2 linked regions of the Drosophila melanogaster genome follow. The protein of the gene in region 1 interacts with the protein of each later gene in a biochemical or structural test. Each region holds a gene or a part of one and is shown in the gene's direction. Other genes may lie near its edges. The genes, in order: Rab6 and BicD.

What was found.
Region 2: the proteins of Rab6 (region 1) and BicD form a complex in vitro, tested with the Drosophila melanogaster proteins (one study listed by BioGRID).

The regions. Positions count from the first base shown.
Region 1 is NT_033779.5:12,106,687-12,111,370, reverse strand, and holds Rab6 (Rab6), read left to right. Parts: upstream 1-2,254; 5' UTR 2,255-2,571; coding exon 2,572-3,198; 3' UTR 3,199-4,150; downstream 4,151-4,684. Other genes in the region: Phae2 (phaedra 2), read right to left, coding at 1-223; Phae1 (phaedra 1), read right to left, coding at 916-1,728; ThrRS (Threonyl-tRNA synthetase), read right to left, coding at 4,609-4,684. UniProt on the Drosophila melanogaster protein: Protein transport. Regulator of membrane traffic from the Golgi apparatus towards the endoplasmic reticulum (ER). Mediates membrane trafficking during egg chamber growth and organization, possibly upstream of exocyst component Sec5.
Region 2 is NT_033779.5:17,470,057-17,475,002, reverse strand, and holds the start of BicD (bicaudal D), read left to right. Parts: upstream 1-1,787; 5' UTR 1,788-2,678; coding exon 2,679-2,906; intron 2,907-3,150; exon of another isoform or gene 3,151-3,400; intron 3,401-4,946. Other genes in the region: Sgt (small glutamine-rich tetratricopeptide containing protein), read right to left, coding at 420-1,415. UniProt on the Drosophila melanogaster protein: This protein is essential for differentiation. It may play a role in localizing of Nanos (a maternal determinant) activity in oocytes. Functions redundantly with BicDR.

The DNA.
Region 1 (4,684 bases):
CCAGGCAGTGAGCAGCCGTTACCAGCCAGTTGGAATTAATGATGTTAGCGGCGCAATAGTGAGTTCCTCCGTACTGCATGGACACTATATACGGAGCACTATTGGCCGCCGCCGCTTTTCCACCCACAACGCGTCCTTCGGGTTGGTCCAAGGCTAATCCAGATCCTTGGGAAACGCACACCGCCAGCAGGAGGATAGTGGCCAGGTGGCGATGGCGCCACATGGTTTGTTGTCCATTCGCAATCATGGTTTTCACAGAACTGTTTACATTGGCACTATCGACGGCTTTTTAAATTAATTCGTGATAAAAAATTTCATGCGAGCCAACCGAGAATATGATAAGAACTTTCAATCAGAGCCCTTGTCTTTCAGATAAGAGCCTATTATAACTTAAGATTATACGATTTTATATATATATATTTCTCTCTTGTTATGATAGACTCAGTCAACAATGAGAATAGATGCAAAAGGGTGTTGAGGGCAATATCTCAAGTTTGTCATTCTGTATTTTCGAGGGGATCCCCGTCCATTGATAAGGAAAATATTATAAATATAATATCTATAAGACCATTGTTAAAAAGGTTAGTTCTGGTAAGAAATGTTTAGATTTTGAAACCATAGTCTCAACATTATTTACTTAACTCACATATTTCACAATGATTCGGTTCGTTATTCTGTTATTGTGCAATGTAAGAAATTGTTATTTACAGCCCGAAAATATGTGAAGCATATAAATCTGTTCGTTGGTTGCTCACCGTGTTCCTCTCTCTTTACGAGATAAGATAAACTTTAAAAAACAGCTCGTTGTTTGATATAGTAGCTGTGATGCGAAGGAAAGTCCCACATTTAAGTGACCGCCACTAGGGACACACATTTGATTGCTTTTATTGAAAAAATAGGGAAAAACTCGACTATTTAGGACACCTGCTGGTTAGCCGATATCCACGATATAAACGACGAGACCTGCACGTAAACCGACGGTGAGTTGGCCTGACCACAAGGTAACTTGCCCCAGGACACGATGCCAATAAGGACATTGCCCTGGACCAGTGGTCCGCCCGAATCCGAGGTGCAAATGCTAACGCCGCCAGTTAGAGGACCAGTGCACAGATTGGTCGAGTGGACATCGCTGCCCTTGGTGCCCAGGGCGCTTTCGCAGGAGCTCAGCGAAATGATAGGCACATTGGTGGCCACCTGCAGGGTCGACGGATAGGAGGCGGTATTCGTGGTGCTAGTGCTGCCCCATCCGTACAGATTGGCGGTGCCAGTGGGCACCACTCCCGAGGATGGTAGCGTCACTGGGGCAACGGCGGCGCTCCAAACGAAGGCGGTGGGCGTGTAGATCATTCCGATGTCATAGGGCACAGTTCCGCCGGTGTACAAGTCATTGATCACGAAGTACGTGATGCTCCGCGTCTGCGTAGTGCTTGCAGTTCCGTCCACCGCGATGCTTCCGGCCACCAAGGTGCTGCCCAGCACCTGGTTACTATTGGTCAGGCAGTGGGCAGCGGTGACTAGCCAGTTGGCATTCAGAATGCTGGCGGCACAGTAATGGGTGCCACCGTACTGCATGGACACCGCATAGGGAGCACTATTCACCGCTGCCGGAGATCCACCCACGACACGCCCCTCGGGTGCGCCGATAGCCACTCCGGATATTCGGCATATGCCCAGTAGGAGAAGAAGCCCACTGGCCAACGACTTTGTTTGCTGTCCGTTCGCTAACATAGTTTTCGCGGAACTGTTTACATCGACCTTTATCGCGGCACGTTTAAATTAATTCGCCATTCCAAAATTTTGCCAGCGCCAGCAGATAAGGCTTTCAATTAAGGACCGTGTGTTCTTCAGATAACCACTTATTATAATTTGAGATTAAGCGACGCCCGAACAGTGACTCTTTGACAGAAGTACGTCAAGTTCCACCGATAGGATGGGCAAATACCTACGCTCGTTTATCTAAAAACAAGCAAATCACTTTAGAGAGCTTTATATTTGAAAATCGCGTTATCACCTGTTAGTATTTCTTACACTTAGTATTCACTTTTTAATATGAAATAAAAAGTTAAGCAATTACCTTGTACTTCATCAGTATTTAAACATTTTAAGCAGGTAAATTTTAGTTAAAATTATTTAATAACGGTAACGAATATCAATCGATTTTTTTTTAAATCATAAAACATCGATTTAGTACAAATATGCGTTTATCGATAGCGTGGCAGAGAAATTGCTTTTGATTGCCACTCTGGTCACACAGCAACTGACTCAGAAGTTAAAGAAGAAGAAGCAGAGACCGTAATTTTTCCACGACTCAACCTAGCGATTTACCAAGCCATTCGAGCCGCAATTGAGTCTTTAGCCAGACGGAAAGCATTTAGAGCGTGTGTAATAGAGTGCGGCAACTTGAAAGCGGTGCATCCCGAGAAATCGCAGTGCGAAAGGGCCCCGAAAACCGCTGGCCCAGCCCCATTATAAACAGTGAGGAGGGGTGGAGATTGGTGAGAGCGGAGCGGAGCGAGAAGAGAGTTCAGCAAACCCGTAATTAAGAAAAAGTAGACACGTACGTTGAGGAAGATGTCATCCGGAGATTTTGGCAATCCGCTGCGGAAGTTCAAGCTCGTCTTCCTCGGCGAGCAGAGTGTGGGCAAGACCTCGCTGATTACGCGCTTCATGTACGACAGCTTCGACAACACGTACCAGGCGACGATCGGAATTGATTTCCTATCGAAGACCATGTACCTGGAGGATCGCACTGTGCGCCTGCAGCTGTGGGATACGGCGGGACAGGAGCGATTCCGCTCGCTGATACCCTCGTACATACGCGACTCCACGGTGGCAGTGGTCGTTTACGATATCACCAACACCAACTCGTTCCACCAGACCTCCAAGTGGATCGATGACGTGCGCACGGAGCGGGGTAGCGACGTCATCATCATGCTGGTGGGCAACAAGACGGATCTCTCCGACAAGCGTCAGGTGTCCACCGAGGAGGGTGAGCGCAAGGCGAAGGAGCTTAACGTGATGTTCATCGAGACAAGCGCCAAGGCCGGCTACAATGTGAAGCAATTGTTCCGACGGGTGGCCGCGGCACTGCCCGGCATGGATTCCACGGAGAACAAGCCCTCCGAGGACATGCAGGAGGTTGTGCTAAAGGACTCACCCAACGAGACAAAGGATCCCGAGGGCGGCTGCGCCTGCTAGAACCGGTTGAGCCGACGATCCAACCATCCTCTCCCCCTTTTTCAACAGCAGGAGCAGATGCAGATGCAGGAGATCGGCCAGCAGCACTGGTGTACACAGGTGTCAGGTGTATGTACTGGCCGGATCTGCGGCGGATTCCTCAACATCTATACACACATACACACTTTACGTTTAAGTTTATTTATAAAGTAACAAATGATAGCAAAGGCAAATAGACTAAACAACAATTAACGAAATCGGCTAACTAATTACTGTTAATTGACGAGCTAATCCCGAGCGCAGGCGAGTGCGAATGCTAACTCATTGACACGAGATCAGGGATCAAGATCAGAGTAATATTTGCGAGTTAGCTACCAGACAAGAATATAGTGTAGTGCATTTCCGATACCCCCTAAACCCTCTAAACGAAAAAAAACCCAAGACCATGTACTTATGTCAGGCCAGGCGGTCCCAGGATCCTCCGACATTCCAGCTCTCGGCATCTCCAGCAGTCGTAGATACCACGCAGCCAGTCTGTGTTCAATGATTCCACCAGCCAGGCATTTTGTTTCCAATTTTAGCCCCCGTTCTGTTCTGTTTGCGGCTTTTGTTTCGCCAGTTTTGGTTAGGATTTCGGTTTTTTTTTTAGCACAGCGAACGCGACTGCTAACTGGAACTGTGGATGGCATAGGACTTGGCCACGTGCATCTTATGAATAAATATACACAAATATAAAATATGTATTTTTATGACTAAAACTGAAACAGATAAGCAGAGCACGAGCAGAGCAAACACTTAACAATATTATTAACGATTTTTGCTTCGATTAGCGAGAGAACTTTGTGCATTTTTTACGCGAAAAGCAAAAGCTTACAAAATTGATAATTGAATAAAAACATAAACTATTGATGCAATTTTTAATAAATCAAATTATGAAAATGAAAAGTATACAAGATACTAGCAATAAATTAATACAAAAAAATAAATTCAAAACATGACTCATACGTTGTGGGTGCACGCACACCTTTCCCAAAAAGTTTTCCGCCAAATGTGGGCCGACTTATCTTATCATTCCAAATCGTTCCTGAATGGACTACAGCGCACCTCTGTGTCGGCATGACTAGTCCTCAATTGCTGACAAATTCCACTGATTCGTCAAGAAACTGGAGTGAAATAGGCGGCTTAAGGTGGATCAGAAAAATACGATTTTTAGTTGGGGAAGCTTAATAATCGTATATTGAATCGAATTGCTTTTATTTGATTGCATGCTCTTCTCTTCTATTTGAAACACCTTAAAATGTGTTTGGATTTGGTTTTTTATTTGTGAATTCCGGTTTCGTAAGCGTAAATACATAGAAAGAACAAAAATGCGTACTTGCTTTGCTATGCAAATGTTAAGTATACTTTTGATAAATAGTTCGAAATAGAGTCTTAGAAGCTGTCCTCGTTGGCGATGAATTCGTCGCGAATCTTTTGCAGCTTTGTGATGAGTTCCGCCACGGAGACC
Region 2 (4,946 bases), 5.4 Mb from region 1:
TTTAAACCCATTAGTTTTTATTTGACATGTAATATCAAATTAACAATTGTACCATTTAGAGATGCAAATCAGCAAAAAAAAAACCCCTAGCATACATTTCTTGAATTCAATAAAAGCAACATTAAATTACATGCACTGTGTGATATACTTGTTTAATTTTGTTAACGACGGGCAACTAGAAAAATATATGAGGCATTATAATATATATATTTAATATTCATTGAAAATTCGATTGGAACAGCGGCAATTTGCACGGTCATTTATTTATTTCCATTGGATAAAAATGTATATGTATGTATGTATGTATGCGTAATAGAAGCCATTTAAACATTATAAATACATTTATAGTTTCAGCTTAACAACTTAATCTGTGTGCCGCCGATCCAGGCAGGGATCGGGGATCGGGATTCTATCCACTTCTAGGTGCTCGGTGGTGGCTGATTGCCCGGCTGCTGTTCATTGCCAGGATTTGCGTTCGAATTGGGAAAGCCAGTCAATTGGCTGGTCATGTTATAGATCATTTGCACCATGTCATTGGGCAGGGTCGGGGCATTGCCGCCGCCGAACTGCTGGCGAATGGTGTTCATGATCATTGGATTCTGAAGCATCGACAGCAGCTGCTCCACGTCGATCTCGGCGTTGTTGAACAAATTCCTAACCATTGGCTGGGACAGCATGTTGATTAGGTCTTCCCTTAATCGCCCCGTTTGGGGCGGCTGGTTCCTGGCGTTTCTGGCCGCTTCCAGGTTGCTCTTGTACACCTCGTTGTCCGGTTCCAGCTCGATGGCCTTGGCGTAGGCCTGTTCCGCCTTCTCGAAATTGCCCATGTTGGAGTACGCCACGCCCAGGCGGCAGTACGCCTTGCTGTAGTTGTTGTTGTACACCAGGGCGGACTTGCAATCGGTTACGGCGCGTTCGTTCTCACCCAGCCGGATGTGGGCCGCAGCCCGATTGCAGTAGAAGATCGGATTCTTGGGATCGAAGGCGATGGCACGATTGTACTGCAGCAGTGCTTCATTGTACTTGTTCTCCTTCATCAGCCGGTTGCCCTCGTTCTTGATGGATTCGGCCAGGGCCAGGGATTCCGGATTGCGTTCTGTATACAGCGACTGGAAGAGCTCGAACATGTCAATGTTATTGGGAACGGCGGCGGCGGCGGCGCCGATACCAGCACTTCCGCTGGCCACCGCATCATCGTCCGGTGCGCTCGCAGTGCTGCTGCTCTGTGTGGTGGCCTGCTCCTCACCAGCCGCAGCCGGCGCTGCCTCCACATCATCGCCCAAGTCAAAGGCCGCCTGCAGGCACTGGATCGCCACCTCGATGCTTTCGGTCTGGTCCGGCGACATCACGTCCCCCTGCTTCTTCAGGTAGTCAATGAAGCTACGCACGAAACTCTGCTGCACTGCGTCCGGCATTTTGGTTATGCTTTAGATTTCTGTTCGCTTAATTTCGATCGACAGACAAGTTGAAAAGTAAATGTGATTAGGCGAAATGTGAATATAAAATCGAGTATCGATGTGCTACATGGCCCGATAACTTTTGAGACATATATCGAACATTCTGATAGTATGGGAAATGCTGACGCTGTTTACAAACTTTGGTTTCAGCTTAAATTATATTTATATTATATATTTTTATATAAAAATAAATCTGTTGCTTCAAGCATTTTAAATAAAATCATACCCTTAGTAGTGGAAACGCGATTATTATTACCAACGCGAGGTTTGGGTCCGAGCTAAGCGCATTCTTAACGCTTTTCTCCACACCTCTCCGCATTATCGAAAGTTTTGCCTGCGGTCGCACTGAAATTCCGTCACAAACATTGCCAAGAATCGACGTGATTGCGGACAAAATTTTGTTTTTGCACTTGCTTGAAAATTTCGACTCCATCGACGACCGCAGCGATTGGGCCTGATATATACCGCATTTAGCCGTCTACGCCGCAATTGTGCAACGGATAACGAGAATACGCGAAGAGCAGTCGTGCGAACGGGGAAAGTGCAGGGAAAATGGGAAAAACTCCCACTTTGCCAGCGAACGAAAGGAAAGGGGAAATTGTGTGATGTCATTTCGGCTGTTTCTTTTCGAGTTAATTGAAACAACTTCCTGCGCTGCGTTTTCAGTTTCTGCTGCCAACTGTTTTATACGCGCCTATGTGTGCGTACGGCAGTGCGCTGGTGTGTGTGTGTGACTTACAGGCATATATAAATATAGTGCAGAATTATTTGCCGTTAAAAGCCCACGGTTAATTGGCCATTAAGCGCTGTTTAATTTACTAATTTAGCGCGGTGAGTGAAGAGAGGAGAAAACCCGCAGCGATACCATTCCACACACACACACACACGTTCGCATTCAAACGGAAAAGAGAAAAGGTGAAACGCACGCACACACACGCAAAAAGCACACCGCGAGTGGAGTTGTGTGAGTGTGGGGTTTCGATAAAAAAAATTATTTTAAAAAAAGCACTGAAGTACAACAAAACAGTGCGGCATATACAAATCGACTTCTATCGATTTCCCTCCAAAACATAAAATTGTATCGAAAAGATTCCGCCCAGGATAGAAGCATCAACAGCAACAACGAGGAGATTCACCTGCCCACGGGCAGCTGTACCGTCCACCAACACCCACACCATCACCCCCTCCCCCGACCACTAAGGACACCATCCATCCATCATCATGTCCAGCGCCAGCAACAACGGCCCATCGGCGGACCAATCCGTGCAAGACCTGCAAATGGAGGTGGAGCGCCTCACGCGCGAACTGGACCAGGTGTCCTCCGCCAGCGCCCAGTCCGCCCAGTACGGACTGTCCCTGCTGGAGGAGAAGTCCGCCCTGCAGCAGAAGTGCGAGGAACTGGAGACGCTCTACGACAACACGCGCCACGAACTGGACATCACACAGGAGGTAAGTTTGCCTACAATTCTTCGCAGTTTTTAAATGCTCCAATGGGTTATATAGTAACCCGCCAATTTGGCCCCCTCTGTTGCTATGTTTTTCGATCTGTTTCCAAGCAGTCGCCGCTTATCGCCCAGCTGGCCCACTCGCGTACTCACACACACCTTGGGGCACACACACCTACATATTTAGACAGAGAAAACCTTTCCACAACGGCCAACAATTTGTCTTGCTGGCAAACTAACTCGCTCACCTGTTGGCCAGTTTGACTCTCTTTCGGCGAGTCTACCTATCGCTCTGCAAAGTCCGTCTGGTCTGGTCTAGCAGAAATAATTGGGATTCGCTCTCTGATCATGAAATCGGAAACTGGCTTGGCCATATGGTCACGTGCTGTTGTTTTGTATACCTTTAAATACAGTGGAACCGCTTGGGTCGATTGAAGATACTATTCAGTCCGCTAAACAAAACAATAAATAAACTAAAAAATGAAAAACACAACTTAACAGCTGAAAGAAAGCCTTTACGACCGCAAAAAGTATTTATGTATGTTTATCATAGATCATAATCGCTAGCCAAGTGTCCTTCTGTCCGTCAGTATAAAGGCCAAAAAAAGCCATGCGATGCCATTATTCTAGTGATCCTAGATGATATGTGTTGTTCAAATCATAAAGCGATCTTTAAAGTTAACACTATAGCATTCTCATTTGATTTGATTGAAAACACTTAAACATTTAAAATGCATTTGGCTGGCAGAATTATTTCATTGTTTCAAAATTATGTTTTCTTTGTTTTTTTATCTTTATCTTGTCTCCACTGATCACGCTCAATTTGGCATAAACATTGTTTTGGCCTATAAAAATTATCTCAGCTTTCAGTTGGCCGATTGCAGCACGGCCAATCTACTCTTGCCATTTCATTTTGCACCTTTATTCAGTGCCCAACTACCTCCACTTCCACATCCAACTCCTCCTTTTCTTCTTACCACCAACCTTCCTTTCCAATTAGTCCTCGTCATCGCCTGGCATTTCCTCTGGAATTTTCACAGGCCGTGGATTGTCGGGCTCTGAACTGCATTACCAGACGGCAGGGAAAAGTTGTGTCCTTTCCTCGGTAAAAATCAAATGGGGGAAGCAGTCTATACTCATTCAGCCGTCTATTATCATTTCGTGCTTTGGCTTTTTCCGACTGGTGTCCCAACAAGCTTCCTTTTTGGTTTGTTTTGCTTGTTGCCAAAAGAAAACGTTGGTTTAGGCCGATTTTGTTGGAGAAGGGTAAATAAAGCATACAGTAAATACAACTGGTTAAATAAAGATCAGAACAATTATACACATGTTTACTGTATTACGCAAATTAACAAAATCATTTGTTATTTTTAGATTTGATTTTGGTGTAAACATATAGTTCATATTCTTTAAGTATCCCCAATTAGCAAACAGTGCAATTAAAGTTCCATTAACCATGGGGCTAACAAAAGTTAGCTGGAATTAAAATCCTACGGGGGCGTTAACACCTGCACACACGCACACACACAATGCAGGCGGTAACACCTTTTTTACAAATGGGCATATGTATGTGCGTAATACGTATATGCGCATGCATTTTTATGCGCTTCGAACAAAAAGCCTGCCAATTAATTGTTGGACAGGTGGCAGTGCACTTGTAACGTAGCTTGATAGTTTCCAGCTTGTTGGATTTGAACTCAACTGAACTTTTACGAGAACACAAATAAAAAAATGAGTGCGAGGCCAAAAGAACCCTCCACCCACACACACACATTTATAATGGATGCTTAAAAATTACAAAAAAAATAATAGCAACGTCGACGACCACGTCACTGCGGGCATTTTCTGTGTCCCCACAAAAGTGTAAAAAAAGGGGTGAGGTTTAAAGGAAGCTATGTGGAGACTGGGCGACATATTTCCACTTGCAATCAAGATATCTGCCTCGGGCGACCCCAGCATAAAGTGACATAAATCAGCGGGCAGACGGCAGCGAAGGAGGGCCAAGTTTCCGTCTTGGGTTGGAAATTAGCTTACTGAAATTAACTGG